Macaca fascicularis: one gene and its partners. The protein of the gene in region 3 purifies or fractionates together with the protein of the main gene of each other region. This does not show direct contact. Links are inferred from orthologs where the notes say so. Each region holds a gene or a part of one and is shown on either strand. Other genes may lie near its edges. The genes, in order: CNNM2, CNNM4, PTP4A2 and RABGGTB.

What was found.
Region 1: the proteins of PTP4A2 (region 3) and CNNM2 purify together in Homo sapiens (affinity purification with mass spectrometry; 4 studies listed by BioGRID and IntAct, counting the BioPlex papers as one, with this or other methods). This does not show direct contact. The link is inferred for Macaca fascicularis from reciprocal best matches to the Homo sapiens genes PTP4A2 and CNNM2.
Region 2: the proteins of PTP4A2 (region 3) and CNNM4 purify together in Homo sapiens (affinity purification with mass spectrometry; 6 studies listed by BioGRID and IntAct, counting the BioPlex papers as one, with this or other methods). This does not show direct contact. The link is inferred for Macaca fascicularis from reciprocal best matches to the Homo sapiens genes PTP4A2 and CNNM4.
Region 4: the proteins of PTP4A2 (region 3) and RABGGTB purify together in Homo sapiens (affinity purification with mass spectrometry; 3 studies listed by BioGRID and IntAct, counting the BioPlex papers as one, with this or other methods). This does not show direct contact. The link is inferred for Macaca fascicularis from reciprocal best matches to the Homo sapiens genes PTP4A2 and RABGGTB.

The regions. Positions count from the first base shown.
Region 1 is NC_088383.1:111,948,130-111,955,549, forward strand, and holds the start of CNNM2 (metal transporter CNNM2), read left to right. Parts: upstream 1-2,412; 5' UTR 2,413-2,590; coding exon 2,591-4,211; intron 4,212-7,420.
Region 2 is NC_088387.1:1,803,864-1,810,675, reverse strand, and holds part of CNNM4 (metal transporter CNNM4), read right to left. Parts: intron 2,990-6,812; coding exon 2,846-2,989; intron 2,507-2,845; coding exon 2,372-2,506; intron 989-2,371; coding exon 819-988; intron 476-818; coding exon 379-475; intron 1-378. UniProt on the Homo sapiens protein: Probable metal transporter. The interaction with the metal ion chaperone COX11 suggests that it may play a role in sensory neuron functions. May play a role in biomineralization and retinal function.
Region 3 is NC_088375.1:203,093,760-203,101,121, reverse strand, and holds the start of PTP4A2 (protein tyrosine phosphatase type IVA 2), read right to left. Parts: upstream 4,813-7,362; 5' UTR 4,467-4,812; coding exon of another isoform or gene 4,443-4,466; intron 4,261-4,442; exon of another isoform or gene 2,113-4,260; intron 606-2,112; coding exon of another isoform or gene 500-605; intron 1-499. Other genes in the region: uncharacterized protein, read right to left, coding at 500-605, 4,443-4,466.
Region 4 is NC_088375.1:158,879,309-158,886,871, forward strand, and holds the start of RABGGTB (geranylgeranyl transferase type-2 subunit beta), read right to left. Parts: upstream 4,057-7,563; 5' UTR 3,986-4,056; coding exon 3,983-3,985; intron 3,172-3,982; exon of another isoform or gene 3,093-3,171; intron 2,758-3,092; coding exon 2,650-2,757; intron 2,366-2,649; exon of another isoform or gene 2,282-2,365; intron 1,077-2,281; coding exon 879-1,076; intron 761-878; exon of another isoform or gene 688-760; intron 297-687; coding exon 191-296; intron 1-190. UniProt on the Homo sapiens protein: Catalyzes the transfer of a geranylgeranyl moiety from geranylgeranyl diphosphate to both cysteines of Rab proteins with the C-terminal sequence -XXCC, -XCXC and -CCXX, such as RAB1A, RAB3A, RAB5A and RAB7A.

The DNA of each region.
Region 1 (7,420 bases), on a different chromosome or scaffold from region 3:
GGAAACATGGCAAAACCCTGTCTCTACTAAAAATTAAAAGAAAATTAGGCAGATGTGGTGGCGTGTGCTGGTAGTCCTAGCTACTTGGGAGGCTGAGCCCAGGAAGTGGAGACTGCAGTGAGCCATGACTGTGCCACTGTACTCCAGCCTGGATGACAGAGTGAGACCTTGTTTTTTGTTTTTTTGAAAAGAATAAAGAATATCTAGGGCCAGGCATGGTGGCTCACGCCTGTAATCCCAGCACTTTGGGAGGCCCAAGTGGGTGGATCACCTGAGGCCAGGAGTTTGAGACCAGCCTAGCCAATATAGAGTGAAACCCCATCTCTACCGAAAATACAAAAATTAGCTGGGCATAGTGGTGCATGCCTGTAGTCCTAGCTACTAGGGAAGCTGAGGCAGGAGAGAATCCCTTGAACCTAGGAGGCGGAGGTTGCAGTTAACTGAGATCGTGCCACTGCACTCCAGCCTGGGTGACAGAGTGAGACTGTCTCTCAAAAAAAAAAAAAAAAAAAAAAATATATATATATATATATAAATATAATACATATGTATATGACATATCTATATCTATATATCTACTATTCTAGGCCCTTGTGATACAGCAGTGAACAAACAGACACACTTTCTGCCCTCAGGGAGCTTAAGTTCTAGTGGAAGGAGACAGATAACAAACCAAATCAATAATTTACATAGTGTATTAGAAAGCGATCTTTGCTTTGAAGAAAAATAAAGTAGATGCGGCATAGAGGGAGTGTTTTCCACAAGTTTAAAATCAGATGGCTTTTGAGCAAAGCACTAAAGGAGGTGAAAAAGGCTATGCTGACATCTTAAGCCCAGGAAACAAACAGCAAGTGCAAAGTCTCGCAGGGGAAAATCCCTGGAGTGATGGAGAAACAGCTTGGAGAGAAATTAATTTGGCTTATTATCTGTCTCCTTCCACTAGGAGAACAGCAGGTGATGAGGTCCGAGAAGTAACGAGAGGTAGCAGACCTTTGAGCCTACTAGGATGAGATGGGAAGCCAGTGGAGGCGTTTCAGCCAAGAGAGATACAGAATCTCATGGACAAGATCACTTGCTGCTGGGTTAAGAAGGGAAAGGAGCAGGTGTCGAAGAGGGAAGATCAGTTAGGAGGCCACTGCAATCATTCCAGAAATTACTCATACCAGAAATTAATCAGAGACGTTTGACGCATTTATAAAAGCGGCGGGGGGGGGGGGGGGGGCCGGAATGTGCTTGTAGAATACAAAAGAGGTAGAGAAACATTAAACATTTTTAATGTTTTAAGTTTCAAGGAAAAGATCAATTTGACAGCTACTTTGCTACCTCGTCACCTCCAGGTGACGCTGGGAGTACTGGGGAGCTAGGTTTCCAGAACTTTTTGCTCTTGAGTGACCTATGACCCTAGCAGAGTTTGGCCAGTGTGATTAAGAATGAGCCTCTGCGGGTCTGCTTAGGATAGGATGCTTGCCGCCCTCCCATTTCCTTAACTTGCCTGGGTTCCTGTTGGGAATACAGATTCGGGGCCCTTCCCACTCTGTAAATATGGAAAAGGGTCTAGGAAGTATATACTTTTAGTAATAATATGTAGGGGTTCTATGACTAGCAAATTTGGGGAACTGTCCCTCTGACCGCGCCATCCGTAACTTTCTGTACACCTTTCGGGGTATGCCGCGGACCTGGAAAGCGTTGCAGGGCGCTCCTGCGGCCCGCAGGTGGCGCCATGTGATCGCGAGCCGCAGAGAGCGCGTACCCTAGGAGTCTTGAGGCGCGAGGACTGCTGGTCGGCAGCTGTGCCGGGGCCACCGACGCCGCTTACCCCAGCGGAGCGCCGCGCACGTAGAGTTGGGGACAGCGGCCGGTGCCCCGGCTTTTTAGGCTGTGTGCATCCCAAGCCGCCTCTAGTTGGCTTCTCGGGCCCCCGGGGCAGGAGGGCGCTGCGGCTTTCTGCCCACGAACTGACAACTGCAGAGCCAGCAAGCCAGTGCATCGGGAACCTGCCGCCTTGCGCCGCAGGGCTTTAGTCCAAGCCCGGCCGGTCCAGGCTCCCGGATCTACTACAGGGTCCCCCGGGGAGCGCGGGCCCCGGGGACGGCTCCTTCCCATTGGCAGCAGGACGGAGGCCACGCCCCTTTCCTACAACTCTCATCTTTGACTGGCTCTCGAGTCCCAGCTGGCCACGCCCCCTCCCCTCGCACATACACAAGAGTCACGCGCCTTTCAGTTGGAAACTTGGCGTGCAGAGGGGGACGGTGGCTCTCATCGCCCCACCCATTTACCTTACCATTGGTTCGCGGAACGGCACACGGTCACGCCCCCATTCCAGCCCCCTGGCTGGGAGGGCGGGCGCCCGCTTGTGATTGGCCAGTGGGCCTGCCTCTCGCGGGAGCAGCCGGCGCTCCTCTCCCTCCCTCTGTCCCCTCCCGCGAGCCTCGGGGTTCCTCAGCTGGCCGAGGTCGAGTCAGTGTCAGTCAGGGAGGCGAACTGCTGAGCACTGGCCGCGGACGCTCAGTTGCAGTCTCGCCCAGGGGCAGGTACCTGCGCTCGCGCCGCCGGGTGGAAAGGATGAAGCCGCAGCTGGAGCAGCCACCCTATGATTGGCTGTGGCGCTTGTGAACCCAAAGTAAAGATGGCGGGCGGGCAGGCAGCCGCCGCACTGCCCACTTGGAAGATGGCGGCGCGCCGCAGCCTCAGCGCCCGCGGCCGGGGGGTCCTGCAGGCGGCTGCGGGGCGGCTGCTGCCGCTGCTCCTGCTGAGCTGCTGCTGCGGCGCGGGCGGCTGCGCAGCGGTGGGCGAGAACGAGGAGACGGTGATCATCGGGCTGCGGCTGGAGGACACGAACGACGTGTCGTTCATGGAAGGGGGGGCGCTGCGGGTGAGCGAACGGACCCGGGTCAAGCTGCGGGTGTACGGGCAGAACATCAACAACGAGACGTGGTCCCGCATCGCCTTCACCGAACACGAGCGGCGGCGCCACAGCCCGGGGGAGCGCGGGCTGGGGGGCCCCGCGCCGCCGGAGCCGGACAGCGGCCCCCAGCGCTGCGGCATCCGCACCTCAGACATCATCATCTTGCCCCACATCATTCTCAACCGCCGCACCTCGGGCATCATCGAGATCGAGATCAAACCGCTACGCAAGATGGAGAAGAGCAAGTCCTATTACCTGTGCACGTCGCTCTCCACGCCCGCCCTGGGTGCCGGCGGCTCGGGATCCGCGGGTGGCACCGTCGGGGGCAAGGGCGGCTCGGGGGTGGCCGGGCTCCCGCCACCCCCGTGGGCCGAGACCACCTGGATTTACCACGACGGCGAGGACACCAAGATGATCGTAGGCGAAGAGAAGAAATTCCTGCTGCCCTTCTGGCTGCAGGTGATCTTCATTTCGCTGCTGCTGTGCCTGTCGGGCATGTTCAGTGGCCTCAACCTGGGGCTCATGGCCCTGGACCCGATGGAGCTGCGCATCGTGCAGAACTGCGGCACGGAGAAGGAGAAGAATTACGCCAAGCGCATCGAGCCGGTGCGCAGGCAAGGCAACTACCTGCTGTGCTCACTGCTGCTGGGCAACGTGCTGGTCAACACCACGCTCACCATCCTGCTCGACGACATCGCCGGCTCGGGCCTCGTGGCCGTGGTGGTCTCCACCATCGGCATCGTCATCTTCGGGGAGATAGTGCCCCAGGCCATCTGCTCCCGCCACGGCCTGGCTGTGGGGGCCAACACCATCTTCCTCACCAAGTTTTTCATGATGATGACCTTCCCCGCTTCCTACCCGGTCAGCAAGCTGCTGGACTGCGTCCTAGGCCAGGAGATAGGCACCGTCTATAACCGGGAAAAACTGCTGGAGATGCTCCGGGTCACCGACCCCTACAACGACCTCGTTAAGGAGGAACTGAACATCATCCAAGGGGCGCTGGAGCTCCGCACCAAGACGGTGGAGGACGTGATGACCCCACTCCGGGACTGCTTCATGATCACTGGCGAAGCCATCCTGGATTTCAACACCATGTCTGAGATCATGGAGAGCGGCTACACCCGCATTCCAGTGTTTGAAGGGGAGCGCTCCAATATCGTGGACCTGCTGTTCGTCAAAGACTTGGCCTTCGTGGATCCAGATGACTGTACTCCCCTGAAAACCATCACCAAATTTTATAACCACCCCTTGCACTTTGTTTTCAATGACACCAAGTTGGACGCTATGCTGGAAGAATTTAAGAAAGGTGGGAAATTTTGGTCTCTTTCATTGGCTTGCTCTTTCTCTCTCCATCCTCTTCCCTACTTGAGCCCTCTACCCTCAGACCAACCCCCCAAGGCGAGTTGACCGGGATTTCTCCTTCTCTCTCTTAATTGCAAAGTTGAAAGGGTGGCGTGGATTTGGGGATGGATTGAACTAGTAAGTGCTACTAGGTTATTTTAAAGCACAAGACTGCCATCACTTACTTTTTACCATTATCAAAAAGCAGGCTGTGTAATTTCTGTGCATGACACTTTTTTTTTTTTGGTTCCGTGTGTGGGGCCTCTGTGCTTGAGGGGTCTGCCGCCTTCATTGTCTGGGTTCTCAGTGGGTAGGTGAAGGTAGGGGCTGGCTGATGCCATGCCATTTGGTTGACTTTAATCACAGGCATTTGGAAAACATGTAAATAGCTTTTGTAAACTCAGTGCAGTCGTTTTCCTTCTCCTTAAACATCCACACTGGCCTTTCAAAGATCGAAGTACATTTTCTATAGCTTCTGTTCCTGCTTGCCTGGCAACTTACGGGGAAGATTGAGGTCTGCCTTTGAGGGTAAGGGGCGGGGTAAACTAAGTATCGCCAAAAAAATCACCCATTTTCGATGTGACTTCTCTTAGCTAGAAAAGTGTTGTTGTTGTTGTTGTTTTAAATTAAAATTACTAATATGTAACTTGGAAAGACTAGCGGTTAGCCAGCCTTTTGTGAAGAGGCTGTATGTCCCGTAGCCTTCTTCACTATTTGTTTACGTTTATCTGACAATAGTTACAGTTGCCCAAACCAAGTGTGATTTTGGCAGAAAGCTTGCACCTTTAACAGTGGGATGAATCCCTCTATTGGGGCTTATTTATTTCTTGACTCTTTCAGTCTAAGTGTTCTTTTTTTCCACCTTGGTCATCCGATACATTAAACTGAAGTATGTCTCCGTCAACTCTCACTGTTCCAAGGTGAGAAATTATACAACACATCATTTCTTGCATTGTGGTATTTGTTCGCTTGACCATATAATGAACAGGTAAATAGCAACTTGTACTATTATTATTGAAGTTCTGAATGTTTCCAGTAAAATGTTTCCACTATTTCAAATAGTGTTATTTGAAAACCAAGGGATGCTGAGTTTTTGAATTATTATGATGCTAGTGCATGTGCGGGTACTGAAATGTGTATGTAAACTTTCGTGACCTAATAGTCCTCAAAACCAAGTTTTCCTTCTTCAAATAGAATTTTGATCACTGGTAGTAGTCTCTCCTCTGAAGAAGGTGATATGTACCTAGTGACAGCTCACTGGATATGATGATCTGAACATACTCAAAGAGCATATGGTTGTCCTAATTCCGTTTTTCTGGTTGAATGATGCCCTCTTTAGAACAGGATCTCATTGTAGTAATTTTTTTTTTTTTTTTTTTTTGAGACGGAGTCTCGCTCCGTCGCCCAGGCTGGAATGCGGTGGCACAATCTCCACTCACTGCAAGCTCTGCCTCCCAGGTTCACACCATTCTCCTGCCTCAGCCTCCCAAGTAGCTGAGACTACAGGCGCCTGCCACCATGCCCGGCTAATTTTTTATATTTTTAGTAGAGACAGGGTTTCACCATGTTAGCCAGGATGGTCTCGATCTCCTGACCTCATGATCCGCCTGCCTCGGTCTCCCAAAGTGTTGGGATTACAGGCGTGAGCCACCGCGCCCGGCCACATTGCAGTAATTTTTATACAAAGGAAAAGAGCAGAATGTGTTTTGAAGATTGGTAAATTTGCATTTAAAAGCAGGAGGTTCTTCTGGTTTCTTAAATAGTAAAAAGAAAATGTCCAGTATCTCTAGGTGACATAGCTTCTTTTGGGGGTGTCATTCTTTCACCATTAAGTTGTTAATTAGAGCATCTAACTTCTTTCATTTTGCAGTAATGTCTGTAATACAGAAAGATATGTTGGAATGTTTGGAAATGCCCCTAAAAGTCTTTCTATTGCTAAATTCCCCAATATTGATACAGGTGAGTGATTGCTTGAGTTTTTTATTACTTAGAATTTTGCACATTTACTCATGAATTGATGACACTAGTTTGTACTTCTTGCTGAAGTCTTTTCTTCACTTCTGTATCTTTTTACCTTGAGAATTTCGTTTTTCACCTCACAGCTCCTTAATCCTGTCCCTACTCAAAATTTCAAAATTTGTATTATTTTGAAATTTGTGCTTGATTGACCTTGAACAATTTTTCTTGATGGATTTATTTTCACGAGGAGCTCTTTTTCCTTCAGAATTACCACTTAGTATTTTTTTGAAATGTATTCTTTAAATAATGGAATTACTAATATTTCCCCATGAATTCTCGAAAAATAATAAGGTACAAGATTTTATTTTTGTCTTTAACCAGAATGATGTATTTGGTTAAGAAGATAGTCCAAGTTAAAGACATACATTCAAGCTAGTGGCACATTCGGAAGAGCAGGCAAAGATAGTTGGTTGCAAATGGGAAATTTAAGCCATGATCTTAAAAGGACAGAATGGATATTTGTTACTTAAACTATGGGAATAATTGATTTTTTTCACCTTCCCTTTCTTGGATTTTTTTTTTTTTAAATTAGTTTGGTTACTTTTTTTTTTTTTTTTTTTGAGACGGAGTCTCGCTCTGCCGCCCAGGCTGGAGTGCAGTGGTCGGATCTCAGCTCACTGCAAGCTCTGCCTCCTGGGTTTACGCCATTCTCCTGCCTCAGCCTCCCGAGTAGCTGGGACTACAGGCGCCCGCCACCTCGCCCGGCTAGTTTTTTGTATTTTTTAGTAAAGACGGGGTTTCACCGTGTTAGCCAAGATGGTCTCCATCTCCTGACCTTGTGATCCGCCCGTCTCAGCCTCCCAAAGTGCTGGGATTACAGGCTTGAGCCACCGCGCCCGGCCTTTATGTCTGAGTTAAAACATTTTACCTGATTTTCGTGTGTTCATTTTCTAAATCAATTATGACATAATGTTAACAATCAACCTTCTATTGTTTTTCTCTACTGAATAATGGTGTGTTGAATGGTTTGAAGACTTTTTCTTCCTCTACCTCTCTTCTAAATTCCTCATTTACAAACAAACAAGAAAAAACAAAACACCCCCCACAATACCAACTGTACCTCCCCAAACCAGTTAGATCATAAATCCAGATCTCATTGAAAATTATCCTTTTGACCAGGCATGGTGGCTCATGCCTATAATCCCAGCACTTTAG
Region 2 (6,812 bases), on a different chromosome or scaffold from region 3:
TCAGGCACTTTGGACGCCCAGACTCCCCTCCTGTCCTCAGGAGCAGGGCCCTGGGCCTTCCTCCCCACAGGCCTCCTCCCCAGGCAGACTGGTCTCCTCACCACCTCTGGACATGCCCTCCACTGCCTCCTGGCCTTTGCTCTAAAATCCCTCTCTCCTCTCTTCCCCTCCGGTTTCTGGACTCCATCCAAAGGGGCAGCTCCCTCCGCTCCTCCATACCACCCACTCCAGGCCCTGGCGGCTCCCACCTCACAAGCCTCCCTCGGCCCCAGCCAACTGGCTATGAGCTCTCGGGCCCACGCTCAGTTCTGGTGTCTGTCCACGGCTCCCCAGCTGCAGGGGGCCAGAGTGCAGCACAGACCCTGCCCAACAACTCACCAGAGGGGACCGAGGTCAGGGCCATAGTCCCATAGTAGGAAAAGGCGCCCGTCTCAAACTTCATGTTCTCCTTCCCTGCCTCCACCTCCACCTTCCCCTGAAAACACACAGGGCTGGGGTTAGAGACAGAGTGAGGGAGGAAAGAAAGGATGAGGCAGGATGGGGAGTAAGGAACAAGGGATGGTGGGGCAGGAGGAAGGGCCGGTACTGGAGCCCTGGAGAGCTCAGGGGCCTGACCTGTGGGATTAAGGGAGAGCACAGCCTCTCCTTCATCCTGTCAGGGAGAGCACAGCCACGTGGGGCAGGTGGGGCTCGAGGGCAGGCGGCAGGCTCCCCAGGCCGGGAAGCCATGCACCTCCGCAGCAGGTGGGAAAGAGGGCCCGAGGGGTGCTGCGGTGCCAGGGGGAGCAGGCGGCAGGCCCAGGGCTGAGTGGGCTCACCTGCAGGATGAGGATGAAGTAGTCGGCCGGCTTATTTCGGGTGTACAGGTAATGGCGGGCGTAGTACTTATTATGCTCATCAAACTTGAGTTCCTGAATGACATCTGGGTACTTGAGCAGCCGCAGCAGGATCTTCTCTGATATCAGGGAGGGGCTAAACTGGGGGACCTCTGTAGGAGGACAGAGAGGAGACCTTACACGGGGCTGGCCAGGTGGCCCTAAAGCTCGATCACTGTTGTGCGTCCACCCCAACCACAATAGCCGTGCTGTGATCAGACTCCCTCCCTGCTCGGCCGGCCCTCAGTTCTGTATCTCCCTGGGGAGGGAGCACGCTTGGCTTCTGACTGGATGGACCCGAGGCTGCCTGCCTGCCTGCCCGGGCTTGAACAGTGGCTCCTACAAGAATAGCACGTGACCTTGGGCAAATTATATAACCCGCATCTCAGTTTCCTCATCTGTAATATGGGGGTAAAAGCTTCACAGGGTGGTTGTGAGGGCGAATGGGATAGCACGTGGACAGCGCTTAGTATATGTGACTATAATTATTGCATCAGCATCGATATCCCACAGGAAAAATAATGGAGAGGGAATTACCATCCCTTTAGCAAGTAAGGGGTGGGAAGGAAGATTAATTGGGTGGGGTGGGGGAGGGGGCAGGGAGGGCAGAACAGAACCTGTCACCCAAGTCCCCAACGGAGCTTTGAATCAGGGCGGAAAAGAGAAATGTCTCTGAACTAGAGGTGAATTCCTGCAGGAACCAGCACACGTCTGCAGAGGGGAGGGCTGGAGAGATGAGAGCAGAGCTGGACGCAAGCTCCTCAGAGTGGGTGAGCGCACGAGGGGTTCAGCCGCACCCAGCAGACCTGCAGAAGGGGAAGGATCCCTTCTTCCCATTCCACAAGCCCTGATGGGCCTGGCCAGCCTAGGGGCCCACCTCAGTAGTTATTTTCTTTTTTGTTGTTTTTGAGACAGAATCTTGTTCTGTGGCCCAGGCTGAGTGCAGTGGCGCATTCAGAACTCACTGCAGCTTCAAACTCCTGGGCTCAAGCGGTCCTCCCACCTCAGCCTCCTGAGTAGCTGAGACCACAGGCATGCAACTGTCCCATCCCACAGCCTCCTGAGTAGCTGGGACTACATGAGGGCACCACCCTGCCTGGCTTTTGGATTTTTTGTAGAGATGGGGTCTTGCCATGTTGCTCAGGCTGGTCTCGAACTCCTGGGCTCATGCAATCCTCCTCCCTTGGCCTCCCAAAGTGTTGGGATTACAGGTGTGAGCCATAGTGCTTAGTCATTATTTCCCAAACTATTAACTATAATAACCGGGATGCTTCCTAGAAGTTTGCAGTAGCTGCCCATTAATGGCAAACGAATCGCAGGGAGATCCCCGGGGGTGGAGTAGGCACCTGGCCCCTTCCAGGGGTGGCTGTGTTGTCTCTGCACCCCTCACCTGCTGCAGCCCTCGTCCTATGAGGGGAAAGTAGCCAGAGACCCAGGACTTCTCCCCCTGTGACCGTATTTCCACCAAGACCGGAAGGTCCTCCTCACGCTCCTACCTGTGGCTAGGAAGCGATGAGCAGCCAGGAGGAGCTGCGGGGAGATTTTCACTTTGAGCTCACTGTCCGTATCCTTGAAGGCGGAGAAGTCGCGCTTGTTCTTCTCAGACACCCGCTTCCGGCTTCGGTTGTCAGCTGCCGGACGAAGAGCGTGGAAATGAGAACACAGACCCCAGAGGACTCAGGAAGAGACCCGCCCCGCAGCTCCTGCTCTCCAGCCCCTAGTCCCACGCAGGAGCAGCGGGCTCTGGCTGGCAGGTCCCCAAGGCACAGAGGCCAAGGGTGAAGGTAGCCTCCGGGCAATGCTCTCAGTAACCTGCTCCCTGCTCACCGCGGCCAGTGCAGGGCACCTGGCCACCGGGCCTCGGGATGCTAGGCCTCCTGTGTCCTGCACTATGGCCCTTCCAGCTAGGGACACCAGGCTTCGATCCAAGCAGGAAAGGGGTCCTGAGCCCTGTGGAGGGCTGGACTCACTGTACATGTCGGACTCATCCAGGATCTCCGACTTGATGATCTCCTCGATCACGTCCTCCAGGGTGACCAGGCCCAGGACCTCGTAGAAGGGGTCGCCCTCACCCTCGTTGTTTACCTTCTGCACGATGGCCAGGTGGGACTTCCCTGTGGGCCAAAGAAGCAGGTCAGACAAGAGTCCAGAGGCCAGTCATGAGACTCCCTCAACCAAAACATTAATTCTAGATGTAGGGTCATAGGTCACCAGGATGGGGTCATGGCGGTTTTTCTCTTTTGCAACTTTCCTGACATTTCTACTACAAACGGACATTGCTTTTATGAAAAGGAAAACTAAAAGTAATTTTTAAAAGCATTTCGTTAAGGACTGCTTTTTTGTTTTTCTCTTTTTTTGTGGGGGAAGGACAGGGTCTAGCTCTGTTACCCAGGCTGGAGTGCAGTGGCACAATCATAGCTCACTGCAGCCTCCAACTCCTGGGCTCAAGAGATCCTCCCACCTCAGCCTTCCGAGTAGCTGAGACCACAGGTGTGCTCCACCACGCCCGGCTAACTCTTTTATTTTTTGTAGAAATGGGTCTCACTATGTTGCTCTGCCTGGTCTCAAACTCCTGGCTCAAGCAGTCCTCCCGTCTCAGCCTCCCAAAGTGCTGGGGATACAGGCATAGGCCACCATGCCAGGCCAGGACTACTTGTTTAAATAGGATAAAAATGAGGGCCGGGCATGGTGGTTCAAGCCTATAATCCCAGCACTTTGGGAGGCCGAGGCGGGCGCATCATGAGGTTAGGAGACCGAGACCATCCTGGTTAACATAGTGAAACCCCGTCTCTACTAAAAAAAAAAAAAATACAAAAATTAGCCAGGTGTGGTGGCGGGCACCTGTAGTCCCAGCTACTCGGGAGGCTGAGGCACGAGAATGGCGTGAACCCGGGAGGTGGAGCTTGCAGTGAGCCAATATTGCGTCATTGCACTCCAGCCTGGGTGACAGAGCGAGACTCCATCTCAAAAATAAATAAATAAATAAATAAACAAATAGGATAAAAATGGCAGCACTGGGAGCGGTGGCTCACACCTGTAATCCCAGCGCCTTGCGGGGCTGAAGCAGGCAGATTGCTTGAGGCCAGGAGTTTGAGAGCAGCCTAGACAACATGGTTGTCTCTACTAAAAATACAAAAATTAGCCAGGCAAGGTAGTACACACCTATAGTCCCAGCTACTCGGGAGGCTGAGGCAGGAGAATTGCTTGAACCCAGGAGGCAGAGGTTGCAGCGAGCCAAGATCGCGCCACTGCACTCCAGCCTGGGCAACAGAGCAAGACTCTGTCCCATAAAAAAAAAAAAAAAAAAAAGAAAAAAGAAAAAAAGACCCTGCCTGGTGCCTCTTATCAGGGGCTTCTGGGACTCTTGGGGAGGGGAAAGACCCAAACTGACAAAGGCACAGAGCGGCCAAGCGCTGTGATTAGGTGGGGCAGAGACTACAGTCAGAGAGGGGCCACCCCCTCAACCCAAAGTGAGGGAAGGAGGCTGAGGTGGGACAGGACCCTCCACAGAAACCCTGTGGGGTGGTGGGTCTTCCCAGACCCGTTTTTGAAGGCCACACCCTGCTCTTATGGCCCCAACCCCAGCGAGTGGCAACAGGGGCCAGCCAAGAAGGGCCGGGTCCACAGTCTAGGTGGGATGAATCCTGTGTGCCGTGCCCTACTCGCAGGAGCGCAGGTTTGGAGCAGCCTAGGAAGAAAGGCCCCGGAAATCTGGGAAGGTCAAGTCAGGGTCTTCTGCAGGGCTTCCCCTTCACAGTCCAAGCGCCTCGCTCTGGGGACTAAAGAACTCATCCTAAATGCCCTCGGTGGAGGATGTTTGCCAGGTCTTTCAGGCCACAGAAAATCCCCCAGCCCAAGATGGGCTGTCACAACTTCTAAGGGCCTCTTAGGGAGAACAGAGAGAATGCAAGATCTCATGACTAAAGTAAAAATTCTCACAATACACCCCACGTGATGGGGCCGAGCACTGCGTTGTGAAAGCTTTTCACACACATGCCGGGGCAATGATATATGTATTTCCCACTACAGGTTCTGGTCGAAAAACGTTTAGCGCATTGCCAGACAGAGCCATGGCTGGACTCGATTGAAAATTCCCTAGTATCGGCCGGTCGCCGTGGCTCACGCCTGTAATCCCAGCACTTTGGGAGGCCGAGACGGGCGGATCACGAGGTCAGGAGATCAAGACCATCCTGGCTAACACGGTGAAACCCCGTCTCTACTAAAAAATACAAAAAACTAGCCGGGCGAGGTGGCGGGTGCCTGTAGTCCCAGCTACTCGGGAGGCTGAGGCAGGAGAATGGCATGAACCCGGGAGGCGGAGCTTGCAGTGAGCTGAGATCGTACCACTGCACTCCAGCCTCGGCGACAGAGCCAGACTCTGTCTCAAAAAAAAAAAAGAAAAAAAGAAAATTCCCCAGTATCGGCCGGTTGCTGTGACTCACGCCTGTAATCCCAGCACTTTGGGAGGCCGAGGCAGGCGGATCACGAGGTCAGGAGATCGAGACCATCCTGGCTAACACGGTGAAACCCCGTCTCTACTAAAAATATCAAAAAAAAAAATTAGCCGGGTGTGGTGGTGGGCGCCTGTAGTCCCAGCTACTCTGGAGGCTGAGGCAGGAGAATGGCGTGACCCTGGGAGGCGGAGCCTGCAGTGAGCTGAGATTGCGCCACTGCACTCCCCCTGGGAGACGACGAGAGTCTGCCTCAAAAAAAGAAAAAGAAAAAAGAAAATTCCCCAGTATCTTCCTAGAGATGAGCCAACAAGTTCATGAGATCTGTGAGGCCCTCCAGCAGGGCGGCAGCGGGCCAGGCCAGGACCCCGGGGTCTGTCCCCAGGCCTCTGTACCTGCTGTAGGCTGTCCATACAGGAGTGCCCTCGAGAAAGACAGTGCCTGGAAGGGCCTGGGCATCCAGCTAAACGATGTCACCACATGGGGATGGGAATTAAAGCAAGGCAGCTTTGACAGGCTGAGTATCCCTTATTCCTCACTGGGGAGCAGAAGTGTTTCAGATTTCTGATTATTTTTGGATTTTGGAATATTCACAGAATATACACCATTGAGCACCCCAAATCTGAAAATCTGAACTACACAACGCTCCAGCGAGCTTTTCTTTTGAGCATCATGTTGGTACTCAAAAAGTTTTGGATTTTGGAGCATTTGGGATTTTGGATTTTTGGATTCGGGATGCCCAACCTGTACCCCCTTTCAGATGGGCACCCTCTAAAAAGCCTGGTAATGCCCAGTTATGGCAGAGGATGGGGAAGACAGACAGGCCCTCACACGTATCTGGTTGGTGGCCAGGTAAAAGGGTACAACATTTCAGGGGGCCAGTTGGTCAGGATGTCACAAAATCAAGGGTTCCTAACCTTGGACTTGGAAGGTCCACTTCTAGGAACTTACCCTAGGGAGAGGCAACTTTCACAAAAGACACAAGAGAAGGGGGCTCTTGGCAACATTCTTTTTTTTTTTTTTTTTTTTTTGAGACAGAGTCTCGCTCTGTCGCCCAGGCTGGAGTGCAGTGGCGCAATCTCGGCTCACTGCAAGCTCCGCCTCCCGGGTTCACGCCATCCTCCTGCCTCAGCCTCCTGAGTAGCTGGGACTACAGGCGCCTGCCACCGCGCCCGGCTAATTTTTTGTATTTTTAGTAGAAACGGGGTTTCACCGTGGTCTCGATCTCCTGACCTTGTGATCCGCCCGCCTCGGCCTCCCAAAGTGCTGGGATTACAGGCGTGAGCCACCGCGCCTGGCCGGCAACATTCTTTTTAACAGCCCTAAACCAGAAACAACCTAAAGAAATAGCGGCAGGTCACAGGCACTCAAAAGGGGCCACAGCTACTCAAGGCAGAACATGGCGGAGGTGGATGAATGAAGTGCGGAACGAAATCCAAAATACGCTATTAGTGAAAGAGTAAGTCACAGATCGGAATGCATGGAG
Region 3 (7,362 bases):
TCCTTTCAACTTTAGCCTCCCAAGTAGCTGGAACTACAGGCTCATGCCACTATGCCTGGCTAGTTTTTGTATTTTTTGTAGAGATGGTGTCTCTATGTCGCCCAGGCTGGTCTCGAACTCCTGGCCTCAAGTGATCCTCCTGTGTCTGCCTCCCAAAATGAGCCACTGTGCCTAGCCAAGACTTTTCTAATATTTCACAGATTAAGAGACTCAAATCACCATCTCCCAAAGTAATTATAACTGGTGGCATCCATTGTTCAACAGAGATTTAAGAACTTTAAGCCCCTAAAAGGAAAAAAAAAAAATTATTCGCTGCTCTCTATTGATAATCTTTAACCTAGATTCTAAAACCTGGGATTTAATAATCAAATCCCGGTACTTTGGGAGGCCAAGGCAAGCAGCTCGCGCCTGAGCTCAGGGGTTCAAGACCAGCCTGGGTAACATAGCAAAACTGTCTCTACTAAAAATACAAAAATTAGCGAGGCATGGTGGCACACACCTATAATCCCAGCTGAAGCAGGACAATCGCTTGAACCTAGGAGGTGAAGGCTGCAGTGAGCTGAGGTCGCACCACTGCACTCCAGCCGGGGCAACAGAGTAAGACTCTGAAAAAAAAAAACAACAACAATCAATCTATAAATAAATGTCCTTATCTGTAAAGCTAACAGAATACTACTTACAGGATTATTGAATTTTAAATGAGACAATACATGATTTGGCATAAGAAGGGAATGTGGAAACCTAAACCCTAAAAGTGTAATACTGAACTCTACCAGTACCCCAAGATCTCTACCATCACCCTATTCAATAAACATAACTAAGTCCACCATGTTAAAACTAGATTCCATCTTCTATTCAACAAATACAGCTGATGGACTAGCACCCAAATAAATTAACCAAACTTAGTTTCAGAAAAACTTAAGCTTCATTCTTCCAAGACCAAGAGCAACAGCTAAAAACGTATGCATCTGCTCCCTCTGCATCTTGTTTGTAAATACATTAGTTTTCTAGGCTTCACTGGTTACCAACCCCCACATTACAACAAAAAGGAAAAAGTATATTCAAATCCTGTAAAATAAATCCCTACTAAATTTCAACTTTGTGTCTGAAAATTGTAAAGTGTTCCTTAATTACTGCATAAGGAAATACTACCTTTATTGGACAAAATGAATAAAGTTAATTCTTAAGAAAGATAAATCCAATTTACCTTGTTTGAAATTTTTTTTCAAGTCAACTATATATGGGGCTCTCATACTATGTTTTTTCAAAGCTACACACAAAAGTATTCAAACATTTACTCTTCCTAGTGCTACAAAGTTCAATGATGTTGTAAATGGTTTCTGCCTATAAATTTGGTTTGTTCAAATTAAATATTACTTGACTGACTCACAGAGGGAGTGGCCTGACTTTTGCTGTTCTGAGTCAGAAAATACCCCGTTCAGCAGTTCGAAACTATTTCTCATCTATAAAGGTGTTCGAAAACGCCAGCCTTTTCCAGCTACAAAATCTGTTGCCTTAGTAGAAAGATCTTAGTGGCAATAATACTTCAAATCTGTAGTTCAATTTATAATTAACAAAATGCTTTCACATGTATATTCTCACTTCTTCTGATTTAAGTGTCCCACACAGCTCAACAGAGAAACTTTCATACAGTGGTTAAGCTCTAGTTCACTCTTGGCCCCAATAAATATATTCTCTTTTTTCCAAAAAATAAAACATAAAAGGCTGTTGCATTTCTTTAATCAGACTTCCCTCACGCAGACATATCCCAGATGCCTCATAAAAACTGTCTCAAAGCACACACCCAGAGCCCGAAGAGAGTTTCAAGGCAGCATCTCCTCCCACATAAAAGCCTAGCTTAGGCCCCAAAGAGCCTCCAGTCAGCATCTCCTAAATGATCCCCTTGCCTCCAGCCTTCTCTATTAGTTTCAACAGCTCTCCTAAGTACAAGCTGCTAGGTCATCATGTGGATGAGAAACCTCAATGTAAGATGAGCTATTGAAACAGCAGTATGATGTATTGGAAAAATCAACAGCTTTGGAGTCAAAGACCTGGATTTTTAATCCAGCACTAATTCTTATTATCTGTGTGACCTGGGACAAGTTACTTAACCTTTTAAGTTTCTGTATCTCTTCTTCTCACCACTGTAAATCCATGGGAGCTCATCGCTGTATCCCTAGTGCCGGGCAAACAGAAGTGGTTCAAAATAAGCCAAATGGATGCAAATGAAGAGACCACCTTTCTTGTAGTTGTGAGAATTAAATGAATATAAAAAGCACCTGTAGCACAGTAGGCAATTAACACTAATTAATTCCTTCCCTCACTGAATAGTAACAATACTATTTACTATTTCTTTCTTATTTTTTTGAGAGAGGGTCTCACTGGCTCACTACAGCCTTGACTTCCTGAAATCACAAGTTCCTCTCGCCTCAGCCTCCAGGATAGCTGGAACTACAGGCACATACTACCATGCCTAACTTTTGTATTTTCTGTAGAAATGGAGTCACCACGTTGCCCAGGCTGGTCTTGAACTCCTGGGCTCAATCGATCCTCCTGCCTCAGCCTCCCAAAGTGCTAGGATTACAGGCGTGAGCCACCGCGCCCAGCCGAAAAATATAAATTCTAACTTTTAATTACACATCAATGATTTTGCCTGTAATTCTATTATGTTCACGATCAAAAGGACCACCCTCGCGCCTGTTAATCCCAGCACTTTGGGAGGCCAAGGCAGGTGAATCAGTGGCGGTCAGGAGTTCGAGACCAGCCTGGCCAACAAGGTGAAACCCCGTCTCTACTAAAACTATGAAAATTAGCTGGGTGTGGTGGCGCACACTTGTATTCTCAGCTACTTGGGAGGCTGAGGCGGGAGATTACTTGAACCTGGGAAGCCTGGGCAACAGAGCAAAACTCCATCTCAAAAAAAAAACAACAACAACAAAAGGACCATACTACTTTTTGCTTATACTGAAAGACTACCAACTTCTAAGAGACAATTATTTTTAAGATAACATCATTTTTAATATTATATCAAAGTGTAAAATCCCTATCGAGGTACTACTCTTCATCAAGAATCCCTACTTTTACAACTCAAGAATGGGAAAAGTCCATGACAATAATTAGTCCATTCATTATGAAACTTAAAAATGCCAAGATCAGAATACCAGCAAACAACTTCTCACCATCTTCACCAATACAATGGTGTGCTGGCAAGTGATTCTGAAGCCCTGATAATGTGTCATTCTGCATCCTTAATTTCCTTTTGCACATTCGGCAAGGCATAACTTCACTCACTTCCCTCTGAAACTACTCTGTTACAGAGCATGACAGCAAGTACCATATTCCAACTCAGCAGTGGTTGTAGTTTGGTGACTCCAGACAAACATTTGCTGAATGCCTACAGTGACACTAGAACTGCGGGTCACTGCTAATTTCTTGACAAATTCCAGGAAATAATAAACTAGCCTATAGTTTAATTTACCTAACAATAAAATACTCTTCACCTGAAAAACTAGCAGTACTTTACAAAAGTTTATGCTCCTGAACACTCTACAGGCCAGAGTGTAGGCTCTTGGGCAACAGACAAACTTCTTTTCGTTAGCTCTCAGGGACCCAGACTAGGATAGGATGGCATCCTTGACAAATTTGAAAATTTACTTTGAAGTTATGAAACGTGGGAGAAAAAAAACGTATAGAACAACAACAAAAAAAACACATCACATCTTTTCTGGGGGGGAAAAAAATTAAAATCCCAGAGCCAGAAGATCATAGTGCCACTAGAAGAGACTTATACCCCCTTTCCTCATACTTGAACCTGAGCACCCAGGGACAAGATGCTCCCGGAAAGAACTCCCTAACCCAACACAGCACGGTTCACTATCGCCACACACAAAGACGAAGAGGAAGGGCCTCCAGGATGCCTGCTCACACACTGGACACACGCCGGCACACCCTGCCACACTCCCGCCTCTGCCACGCACCTTCTCACCGACACACACCATGTTCTCCCCCTACACTCGCTCTCTACCACACTCTCAACTCTCTCCTCCCCCACTTCTCATTCATGTACCCCCACCCCTCATGCCCACACGCTCCCCGCACACTCATACCCTCCCCCGCCTGCACCCACACTCCCCCAACATCGACACTGTCCCCCGACCCGCTCCCACTCCCCCCACCTCCTCGCACACTCAGCCCTGTCCCCCACTCACACGCCCTCCCTTCACCAACTCACACTCTCCCCCACGCTCGCACAGCTCTCCCCCTTCCACACACACGAGCCCGCCCCTCGCTCACCCACCCTCGCTCCCCCGCCCCGGCCCAGCCCGGCCCTCCTTCCGGGGACGTGTCTCCGGCCTGTACTAATGGCTGCAGCGCCTCCCGCCCTCCCCTTCCCCGAGGCCCCCGGCGCCGGCGCGGGGGCCGCCCGGGAGGGGCGCACTCACGCTGGCGAGCTGGGGACTGGGCATTGAAGTCCGGCGGCGGCGGGAGCGAGGAGGCGCCTCTCTCCTCAGTCACCTCGGCGGCGGCGGCGGCGGCGGTAGCGGTGGCGGCGGCGGCGACGACTCCCCCCCAGCCTCGGCGCGCGACACCCGGCCCGGCCCGGCGGCGGCGGCGGCGGCGCGTCTCCACGAGTCCGTCTTGCTGCTGCTGCTGCGGTCGCCGCTGCGTCTCCTGCTGCCGCCGCTGCCCCCGCTGCCGCCGCTGCCCTGTGGCGTCGCCTCGCGCCGTGCCCGGCCGCCGCTGCCGCTCCAGCCGCTCCCGGACGGACGACGGTTACAGCCCGGCCGATCGCGCCGCCGCCACCACCGCTGCGCGCGCAGCCGGAACCAGCTCCCGCCGCCGCCGCCGCCCCTCAGGGGTCGCTGCGGGGCGCGGCTCAATGGGCAGCTGACCCGCCCTCCGCGTTCGCTGACTGGCTGGCCGGCCGGCTCGCGGGCGGTTGGGCCCGCCCACCTGCCCCGCGGGGCTCTGACCCACTGCCCTGGGCACCTCCCCCGCTCCTCCTCCTGGTGGTTCGTTCTGCTCCGCACTCCCGGCTACGGAAGGCGAGTCCATGTGACCGGGGAGGGAAAAGCAGAACGTGGCCTGGGGAGTCGTTCGCCCACGCTGCGCCCCGCCCATCCGCACCTGGGCTGGGTCGAGGGCCTGCAGCCGAGGTGTGACCCGCAAGGTCGAAGGGTTCTTTCTCGCTCCTAGGCCGTCAGGCCTGGGGTCAGATCCTGATGGGACAGGGTGGCCACCAAGTCCTGTGCTTGGGGATTTCCAACTCAGAAGTGGGAACCCGGGCAGCTCAGTTCTTGGCTGCCCTTCCTGAGGCCCCAAATAAATGGCGTGTGCATCTTCGTGGAGGATATTAATACGCCACCCCCGGCTCTGCCCACAAGACACACACACATCCTAAGAACTGTCCCTGACAAGCCAAAATTCAGACTTTCAGGATGTAGGATCTTGGGCAAGTGATTCCCTCTCTCCAAGTATTATCAACTATAAAGTGAAAATAATAATCAGCAACCTCATGGGCGCTTTCACGATCGATAATAACGTATGAAAACGCTTGAGAAAGGCCGGGCGCGGTGGCTCATGCCTGTAATCCCAGCACTTTGGGAGGCCGAGGCGGGCGGATCACTAGGTCAGGAGTTCGAGACAAGCCTGGCCAACATAGTGGAACCCTATCTCTACCAAAAATACAAAATTAGCCGGGCATAGTGGTGCGCGCCTGTAATCCCAGCTACTCGGGAGGTTGAGGCAGGAGAATCGCTTGAACCCAGGAGGTGGAGGTTGCAGTGAGCAAAGGTCACGCCACTGCACTCCAACCTGGGCGACAGAGCCGGACTCCGTCTCAAAAAAAAAAAAAGGAAAACAAAACGCTTGAGAAAGAGGAGACCCTGAATTTCAAGGTTTCCGACTTAATGTCACCTTTAACGACGCAGATTATCATAGAGATTCTCAAGTGGAAAGGTTTTTGCCTCTTGCATTTGGAAGCTAGCCAGAAATTCTTTGCCAGATCATGCGTCCTGAGTTTTGGTTTGGAAAATGTGGTCACTAGCGAGCTGGGAGGCTGGTTTGGGCCACGGCCAGATGACAGGCAAAGTGCGGCATTGGGGGCTGGCTTGGGAGGAAGGGAGATGTCTCCCCCTGAGAATTGCGGGTTGGGGAGGGTCTGTTCTTTCTGTCCACTCCTGGGAAGTCTTGCCTGCCCAGAACTGGCTCCTATCTAGGAAGAAATGAAGATGCCCCCGTGGGTGTTTCTCCCCTACCTCACCACCACATCCATGCTCATCCAGCCCTGCGGGGAGAAGCAGTAATCTGTCATCATTAGACCTTCCCCACAAGGTAGACTTGGGGCATTGCTACTGACCAGAAGGCTTCCATTAGAGCTTAGCAGTAAAATGAAAGGTCTTATGACTCAGCCGCATCAAGCCACAGAGCAGAGTCCAGGATGTTCACCACCAGCAGGTGGCCCAGGAGGGGGTATTCTAGGGCAAAGCTGGTTAGCAGGGCTGTGTGGGAGTTGAGAGAGGCCTTGAGGAGCAAGAGGGGCTGCAGATCAGTAGCAAGGCCCCTGGGTGAGGAGCACAGACTGGGCTCACTTGCATTCTGTCTGCCTCCAGCAAGCAGTATTTTCTACTTCCTGGAAACACAGACTGATTTGAAACAAAGAGCTACCTCCTCTGCAAAACTTTTGCTGCGTCTATGAGTTATTGATTCTTCCGATAAAGTTGCAAAACACCTTGTGCAATCCTCTACCATAGCACTTAACATAATACTGTAATTGCCTGTTTTCAGACTCTCCCCCGCTTAGATGGATCTATTTGGGGCAGTCTAGCAGATTGTTTGCTTGTTTGTTTTCATCTAGTAGATTGTTTGACCAAGTAAATGACACTCCCCTCCACCTAGCTCTCCTTCTGGCCCTGAAATAAAATAGTGTAATAACAACATTAACAACATAAGGATAAGAATAATGGCCCCAATAATAGTTACGTTTACCCCCTTTTTTTTTTTTTTTGAGACAGAATCTCACTCTGTCACCCAGGCTGGAGTGCAGTAGTGCGATCTCGGCTCACTGCAAGCTCCACCTCCTGGGTTTACACCATTCTCCTGCCTCAGCCTCCCGAGTGGCTGGGACTACAGGCGCCCGCCACCACACCCGGCTAATTTTTTGTATTTTTAGTAGAGACGGGGTTTTACCGTGTTAGCCAGGATGGTCTCGATCTCCTGACCTCGTGATCAGTCTGCTCAGCCACCAAAAGTGCTGGGATTACAGGCGTGAGCCACTGCACCCAGCCTTTCTTTTTTTTTTTTTTTTAAGACAGGGTCTCACTTTGTCACCCAGGAGGGAATGCAATAGTGCAAACATGGCTC
Region 4 (7,563 bases), about 44 Mb from region 3:
GTTCCAGTGCTCCTGTATGCTGATATAACTACCACAGTGCATGCTGGAAGTTCCAGCAGACCATTAACTCCAGTTAGACCAGCTGCTTAGTGGGACCTGAAAAGATGAAAAACTTATAAACTGGTTACTAGCAAAACCAGTACACTTTAATATTGGTATTTTGGGTAGAATGGACTAAATCTGACATTACCCCAAATATCTCCAGCAAAAGAACCATCTTCTTTCTGTAGACCTTTAACATATTCCACAACTTTATTTACGTCGATAACATTAATACTGTCATACAGTGTAAGAATCTGCAATAAAGACAAGTATTAGGTAAATACCCCTTTCAGGTTTATTCTAATCTTATGCTCAACTCTTTTTAAGTTGCCAAGCGCTCCTTTTGTCTCTGTATATAGCCTTTTCTCAAATATGCAGACTCTCCTATTATTCAATAAAATTACAGATATTATCAAAACTCAAATCTTTAAAGTATAATTTTTCTACATATAAACTTTAACTTGGCATTCCAAGATACTCAAATGTACTAACTCACATACACACAAAGTCCTGATCTTCCCATCTCAGCACCCAGCACCAGAAAGACTTTAAACCAGGTAGATGTTCACTAATACCAAAATCAAACAGATCCACTTAGCTATTTAACAGTATTTACACATACTGAAGATAAAAATTTTACCCTGCAAGGTCTCAGTGTAATTTTAGAAACTCACATCAACTTTGGATTCAGCTAATACATGCCATTACATCATTGACCTTGTAGGACAGCTTCACTTGTAACAAAACTTTTTGACCAAATCCTAATAGTTTCAATTTCCAACTCTGAAGTAAGAGAACACACTATCAAGATCATTGCAATTTTAATTAGTATTTACCTGGACAGCACTAAGAGTGTATAAAAGATGAGGATCATGTCCGATACTAGCACTTATTCCACCACATTCGTGTTGGCAAGACTTAATAAATGCCAGAATCTCTTCTCTATTCATGCGATGAAGTTGTCCCATGAGATCCATTACTGTCAGACCCCAATAGATGCCACTCATTCTTAAATACTCAGACATACAGTATTCCTAAAATAATACACAATTCTTAAATGTGTCAATTTGAACTGAAAACAGGTTATAAAGAGATCAAACACAAAGGTAACTTATTAGCCATGCTGCTATTTTTACCTCTCCTGACCTTAATGGCACTAATCAGTATTGAGTTTAAAATTTGTGCCGCTCAACGTTAGAGGCCATCTTCAGACACAACTATTAATCACAAAAAAAACAATTATCTGAGAAGCACAGGATTAGTTCATCTATGGCTGACAATACAAACAGGGCTTTAGTTTCTCCCATGAGCCAAAGACAGAAAAGCATCTACCTTTTTCATCAGTGAAGTTCAGGGACAGTATTTCTTTCCGAGTACCTATACCATATTTATCGGACATCTATTTTAATGTGGACTCTGTACAAAACTTACTATCTATTAGGAAATTATATAACTTCATGAAAAATCAAAATGCCGTAAACATTCTAAAGATGTCTACGCCCAGATAAAACAGTGGCTAATCAATGATAGATGAAAATTAGTATTAGGATTCCAGAAACAAATTTTTCCCACACTCAACAATGCATTACATTTTAAGAAGTTTTGTGGCTGGGTGGTGGCTCCTGCCTGTAATCCCAGCACTTTGGGAAGCTGGGGCAGACAGATCACTTGAGGTCAGGAGTTTGAGACCACTCTGGTCAACATAGCAAAACTCTGTCTCTACCAAAAATACAAAAACTAGCTGGGCGTGGTAGAATGCGCCTGTAATCCCAGCTATTCAGGTGGCTGACTTAAGCCCAGGAGGTGGAGGTTGCAGTGAACCCAGATCGCACCACTGTCCTCCAGTCTGGGCAACAAAGTGAGGTTATACCTCCCAAAAGGAAAAAAAGTTTTTTTTAACAGGTGGTACATCTTAATTTGCTACTAACCCAAATTCAGGGCATAGATAGCAGATAAAGGCAGAAACGAGTCCAGCCCCATCCATATGGCCTTAACTCCATGATTGCTACTAGAGTATTTTCAACGTTGCTACTAGAGTATTTTCAAGGTTATGGGAACCTAACACTTAAGTAAAAAATTAATACATACATCCCACAAATAGGTAGATAAGCTTAAGACAACTGAGTTTGGATACTACAGGGAAAAACATTTACTTGTAACTAAGTTGTTTACTACTTTTTGCTCAGATCGTCCCAGAGAGTTTTCCTTGAAATTTAAAAATTTAAGGTAAAACCTTTTCAAGGTCTCAGAGTAATTCTAGAGCTAAAGTGTTATTACACATCAGCAATAGATTCAGATAATACATGCCAAAACATCATTGACCTTGAAAGTATTACTTCTAACTACAAAAAGGGAAACCCGTTTTGTACCTCAAACCCTTATCTACTTTGGCAAGCCCTCTCAGTATAGGTGAATACTGCGATTCTAATAAGCCCACAATCTCAGACGTCCAAAGCACACTTAACTGAAGTTCAAAGGCACAGGAAATCCTCAGTTCTCTGCATGGAGTTGGATGCCATTTTAAGACATAAAATATAAATACTGTATCACCGCTTATGACTGTCACACTTCTTTAAAATAAACTTTCCAACATAAAATCATACATACATAATCATCTTTCTTTGAGCCATAGGATGCGATATAATCTGCATGTTTCTCCAATAATAGGGTGTCTGGTGCATCTGACTTGATAATAACATCCTTCTGTGGAGTGCCCTTTCAAAATAAAAAAGCAGTAATCTATCAATGTTTACCTCTACAATGTTCTTCTGCCCCACAGCACAGATTCAACATACATCTCAATTTTCACTTCGTTTAATCTTGTAATAGGAAAATGTTCCATTTAAAAATTGTAACTAGGGAGGCTGAGGTAGAAGATCGCTTGAGGCCAGGAAATTAAGGCTGCAGTGAACTGAGGTTGTACTACTGCACTCCATCCTGGGCGACGGGAGACCCTGACTCAAAAACAAAACAAACAAACAAAAATTCTATCTAACAAAAAAGAACTTAAGTCATTCGAGCTCCATCTTAGTCACGATTCAGGTAATTTTCAGGTCTCAGAGTAATTCTAGAGCTAAAGTATTAATAATCAACTTTAGATTCAGAATACATGCCAGCTCATCATTGACCCAAAAAATTACCACCAGCATTGCTTGTTGTTCACTTTTCATTCAAAAAGGTAAGTAAAAAATAAACACCATAGAATATCAAAGCTTATCATTTCAGGACAATTTACGGTTTACATGTGGCAGAGAGCATATATACATATTTTTTTATCTAACTGGCCCTTAATTTGCAAGCGAATTTTTGCTTATCAAATGCAGGTTTCAAAGCACCTTCTAAATACCCCAAAAGTTGTTCAAATGTATTAAATAAGTAGTTCCTTTAGCTCCATCTTCTCCACCTTTAATCCGAGTCTCTGTATTTGCATAAGTCCCCATGTGATGTGGCTCTAGTTCTTTTCGTATCTTTATCTTCCTCATTGAGAGTACACAGTAGTCATAATAATAGGTCATGAAGATTACCGGAAGTGATTAAGTACCGAATTTTCCTCTGATCCCACTAAAAATCTTAAAGCGAGACCACATCACTAACGATTTTAAAGAAATTTTTGACATCCCCCCTCCAAAAAAAAAAAAAAAAAGCCACCAATCAGCCCCAGCTTTTTAGAGGGTTTAAGAAATCGGGCTGCTCAACTCTAACAGGCCCTCCCTACAGAAGGCCTGGATAAAATCAGAAGCGGCATTGCCCGCGAGGTCTGCAAAAAATGCTGAGTAATATTTCACACTCAAAAAATCTTCAAGGCCTGTGTCTTAATCATTCTCCAGCACCAGGAAACCAATCCTAAGGTGACCAGTGTGCTTAACCCTACTCAACCCTACCCTACCCTACCCTGTCTGCTACCAACCCATCAGGACAGCTGCGGTTGACTCACACTTACCATGTCTAACAGGGAAAAGAGAGAGCAGGGTCAGTTCCTGGGTATACTTAGGAGCCCGGCGCCTGCGCAGATGCGCCACTCAGGCCCCCATGGCGCTCCGATATAGCTGACCACACTTTCGCCTGCAAGGCAGAATAGATCCACGGCTGCCGTAGGACCCCACTGATGGCTCATAGGTGTCTTCACTGCCTGCGTTCAAAGTCCCGCGACCATATTCTTGTCCCAAAGTCCCTCCGATTTGTCCAGAAACAGTTTTAAATAATATTTAAATATTTGAGTTGCTTTTAAGAAATCATTTGTTCCTGTTGGACGTGGTGGCTCACGCCTGTAATCCCAGCACTTTGGGAAGCCGGACAGCAGGATTGCTTGAGCCTAGAAGTGTAACCACCCAATATTGGGGTTCACTCTGCCTGCTGCTGTCGGGGAGCCCATTTATCAAGACAGGGGAATTGCAATGGAGAAAGAGTAATTCATGCAGAGCCTGCTGTGCAGGAGACTGGAGTTTTATTCTTACTCAGTCTCCCCTACTAGTCATCAGAGTTTTTAAAGATAATTTGGCGAGTAGGGGCTTGGGAAGTAGGGAGTGCTGATGGGTCAGGTTAAAGATGGACTCATAGTGGGTAGAAGTGAGTTTTTCTTGCTGTTTTCTGTTCCTGGGTAGGATGGCAGAACTGATTGGGCCAAATTACCAATCTGGGTGGTTTCAGCTGATCCATGGAAAGCAGGGTCTGCAAAATATGTCAAGCACTTATCTTAGATTTTACAATAGTGATGTTATCCCCAGGAGCAATCTGGGGAGATTCAGACACTTGGAGCCAGAGGCTGCATGACCTCTAAACTGTAATTTCTAATCTTGTAGCTAATCTGTTAGTCCTGCAAAGGCAGACTGGTCCCCAGGCAAGCAAGCAGTTTTTTTGGGAAAGGGATATTAACAATTTTGTTTCAGAGTCAAACAATAAACTGAATTCCTTCCTAAGTTGGTTCAGCCTAGGCTCAGGAATGAACAAGGACAGCTTAAAAGTTAGAAGCAAAATGGAGTCGGTTAGGTCTGATTTCTTTCACTGCCATAGTTTCCTCAGCTATAATTTTGCAAAGGCAGTTTCAGGAGATCCACACCAGCCTGGGCAATGTTGCAAGACCCCGGTCTCTACAATTAATAAAAATATGAGCCAGACGTGGTTGCCCAAGCCTGTGGTTTCAGCTACTGTGGAGGCTGAGGTGAGAGAATTACTTGAGCTCTGGAGTGGGGGGTGGAGGCTACAGTGAGCGGTGATCATGCCACTACACTGCAGGGTGTGAGACAGAACAAGACCCTGTCTCAAAAAAATAAAAATAAATAATTTGTTCTTGAGGCCCTTTGCACTCTGAAAATCTGAAATGGCTGTTAATTAGTAGAGTGCCTGTTTGCACATAGTAAGTGTTCAATGAATCTTTTTAAAATGAATATTAATGAAATGTTCACATTTCCTTCCTGTTTGTCTTGTCCATCTCAAGGTCCAGCCCTATACCCGCCCCCCCCCCCACAAACACAGACCACCCTCCCCCCACCACCACGACCACCACAAACACTTCTTCAGAGAGTGCTAATAGTAAAAATATTGGAAGTTACTTTTTTTTTTAAATTGCACTTTAAGTTCTAAGGGTACATGTGCACACTGTGAAGGTTTGTTACGTGGGGATACATGTGCCAGGTTGGATTGCTGCACTCATTAACTCATCATTTACATTAGGTATTTCTCCTAATGCTATCCCTCCTCCTGCCCCCCACCCCATGACAGGCCCCAGTGTGTGATGTTCCCCGCCCTGTGTCCAAGTGTTCTCATTGTTCAGTTCCCACCTATGAGTGAGAATATGTGGTGTTTGGTTTTCTATTCTTGTGATACATTGCTCAGAATGATGGTTTCCAGCTTCATCCATGCCCCTGCAAAGGACATGAACTCATCCTTTTTATGGCTGTATAGTATTCCATGGTGTATATGTGCCACATTTACTTAATCCAGTCTATCATTGGTGGACATTTGGGTTGGATCCAATTCTTTGCTATTGGGAATAGTGCCACAATAAACATATGTGTGCATGTGTCTTTATAGTAGCTTGATTTATAATCTATTGGGTATATGCCCTGTAATGGGATCACTGCGTCAAATGCCATTTCTAGTTCTAGATCCTTGAGGAATTGCCACACTGTCTTCCACAGTGGTTGAACTACTTTGCACTCCCACCAACAGTGTAAAAGTGTTCCTATTTCTCCACATCCTCTCCAGCATCTGTTGTTTCCTGACTTTTTAATGATTGGCATTCTAACTGGTGTCAGATGGTATCCCATTGTGGTTTTGATGTGCATTTCTCTAATGACCAGTGATGATGAGCATTTTTTCACGTGTCGGTTGGCTGCATAAATATCTTCTTCTGAGAAGTGTCTGTACATATACTTTGCCCAATTTTTGATGGCATTTTTTTTTTCTTGTAAATTTAAGTTCTTTGTAGATTCTGGATATTAGCCCTTTGTCAGATGGGTAGATTGCAAAAATTTTCTCCTATTCCGTAAGTTGCCTGTTCACTCTGATGGTAGTTTGTTTTGCTGTGCAGAAGCTCTTTAGTTTAATTAGATCCCATTTGTCTATTTTGGCTTTTGTTGCCATTGCTTTTGGTATTTTAGTCATGAAGTCCTTGCCCATGCATATGTCCTGAATGGTATTGCCTAGGTTTTCTTCTAGTGTTTTTATGGGTTTAGGTCTAACATTTAAGTCTTTAATCCATCTTGAATTAATTTTTATATAAGGTATAAGGAAGATATCCAGTTTCAGCTTTCTACATACGGCTAGCCAGTTTTCCCAACACCATTTATTAAATAGGGAATCCTTTCCTCACGTCTTGTTTTTGTCAGGTTTGTCAAAGATCAGATGGTTGTAGATGTGTGGTGTTATTTCTGAAGCCTCTGTTCTGTTCCATTGGTCTGTATCTCTGTTTTGGTACTAGTACCATACTGTTTTGGTTACTGTAGCCTTGTAGTATAGTTTGAAGTCAGGTAGCGTGATGCCTCCAGCTTTGTTCTTTTGGCTTTGGATTGTCTTGGCAATGTGGGCTCTTTTTTAGTTCCATATGAACTTTACAGTATTTTTTTTCCAATTCTGTGAAGAAAATCATTGGTAGCTTGATGGGGATGGCATTGAATCTATAAATTACCTTGGGCAGTATGGCCATTTTCACAATATTGATTCTTCCTATCCATGAGCATGGAATGTTCTTCCATTTGTTTGTGTCTTTTATTTCGTTGAGCAGTCGTTGTAGTTCTCCTTGAAGAAGTCCTTCACATCCCTTGTAAGTTGGATTCCTAGGTATTTTATTCTCCTTGTAGCAATTGTGAATGGGATTTCACTCATGATTTGGCTCTCTGTATGTCTATTATTGATATATAGGAATGCTTGTGATTTTTGCACATTGATTTTGTATCCTGAGACTTTGCTGAAGTTGCTTATCAGTTTAAGGAGATTTTGGGCTGAGAAGATGGGGTTTTCTAAATATACACTCATGTCATCTGCAAACAGGGACAATTTGACTTCCTCTTTTCCTAACTGAAT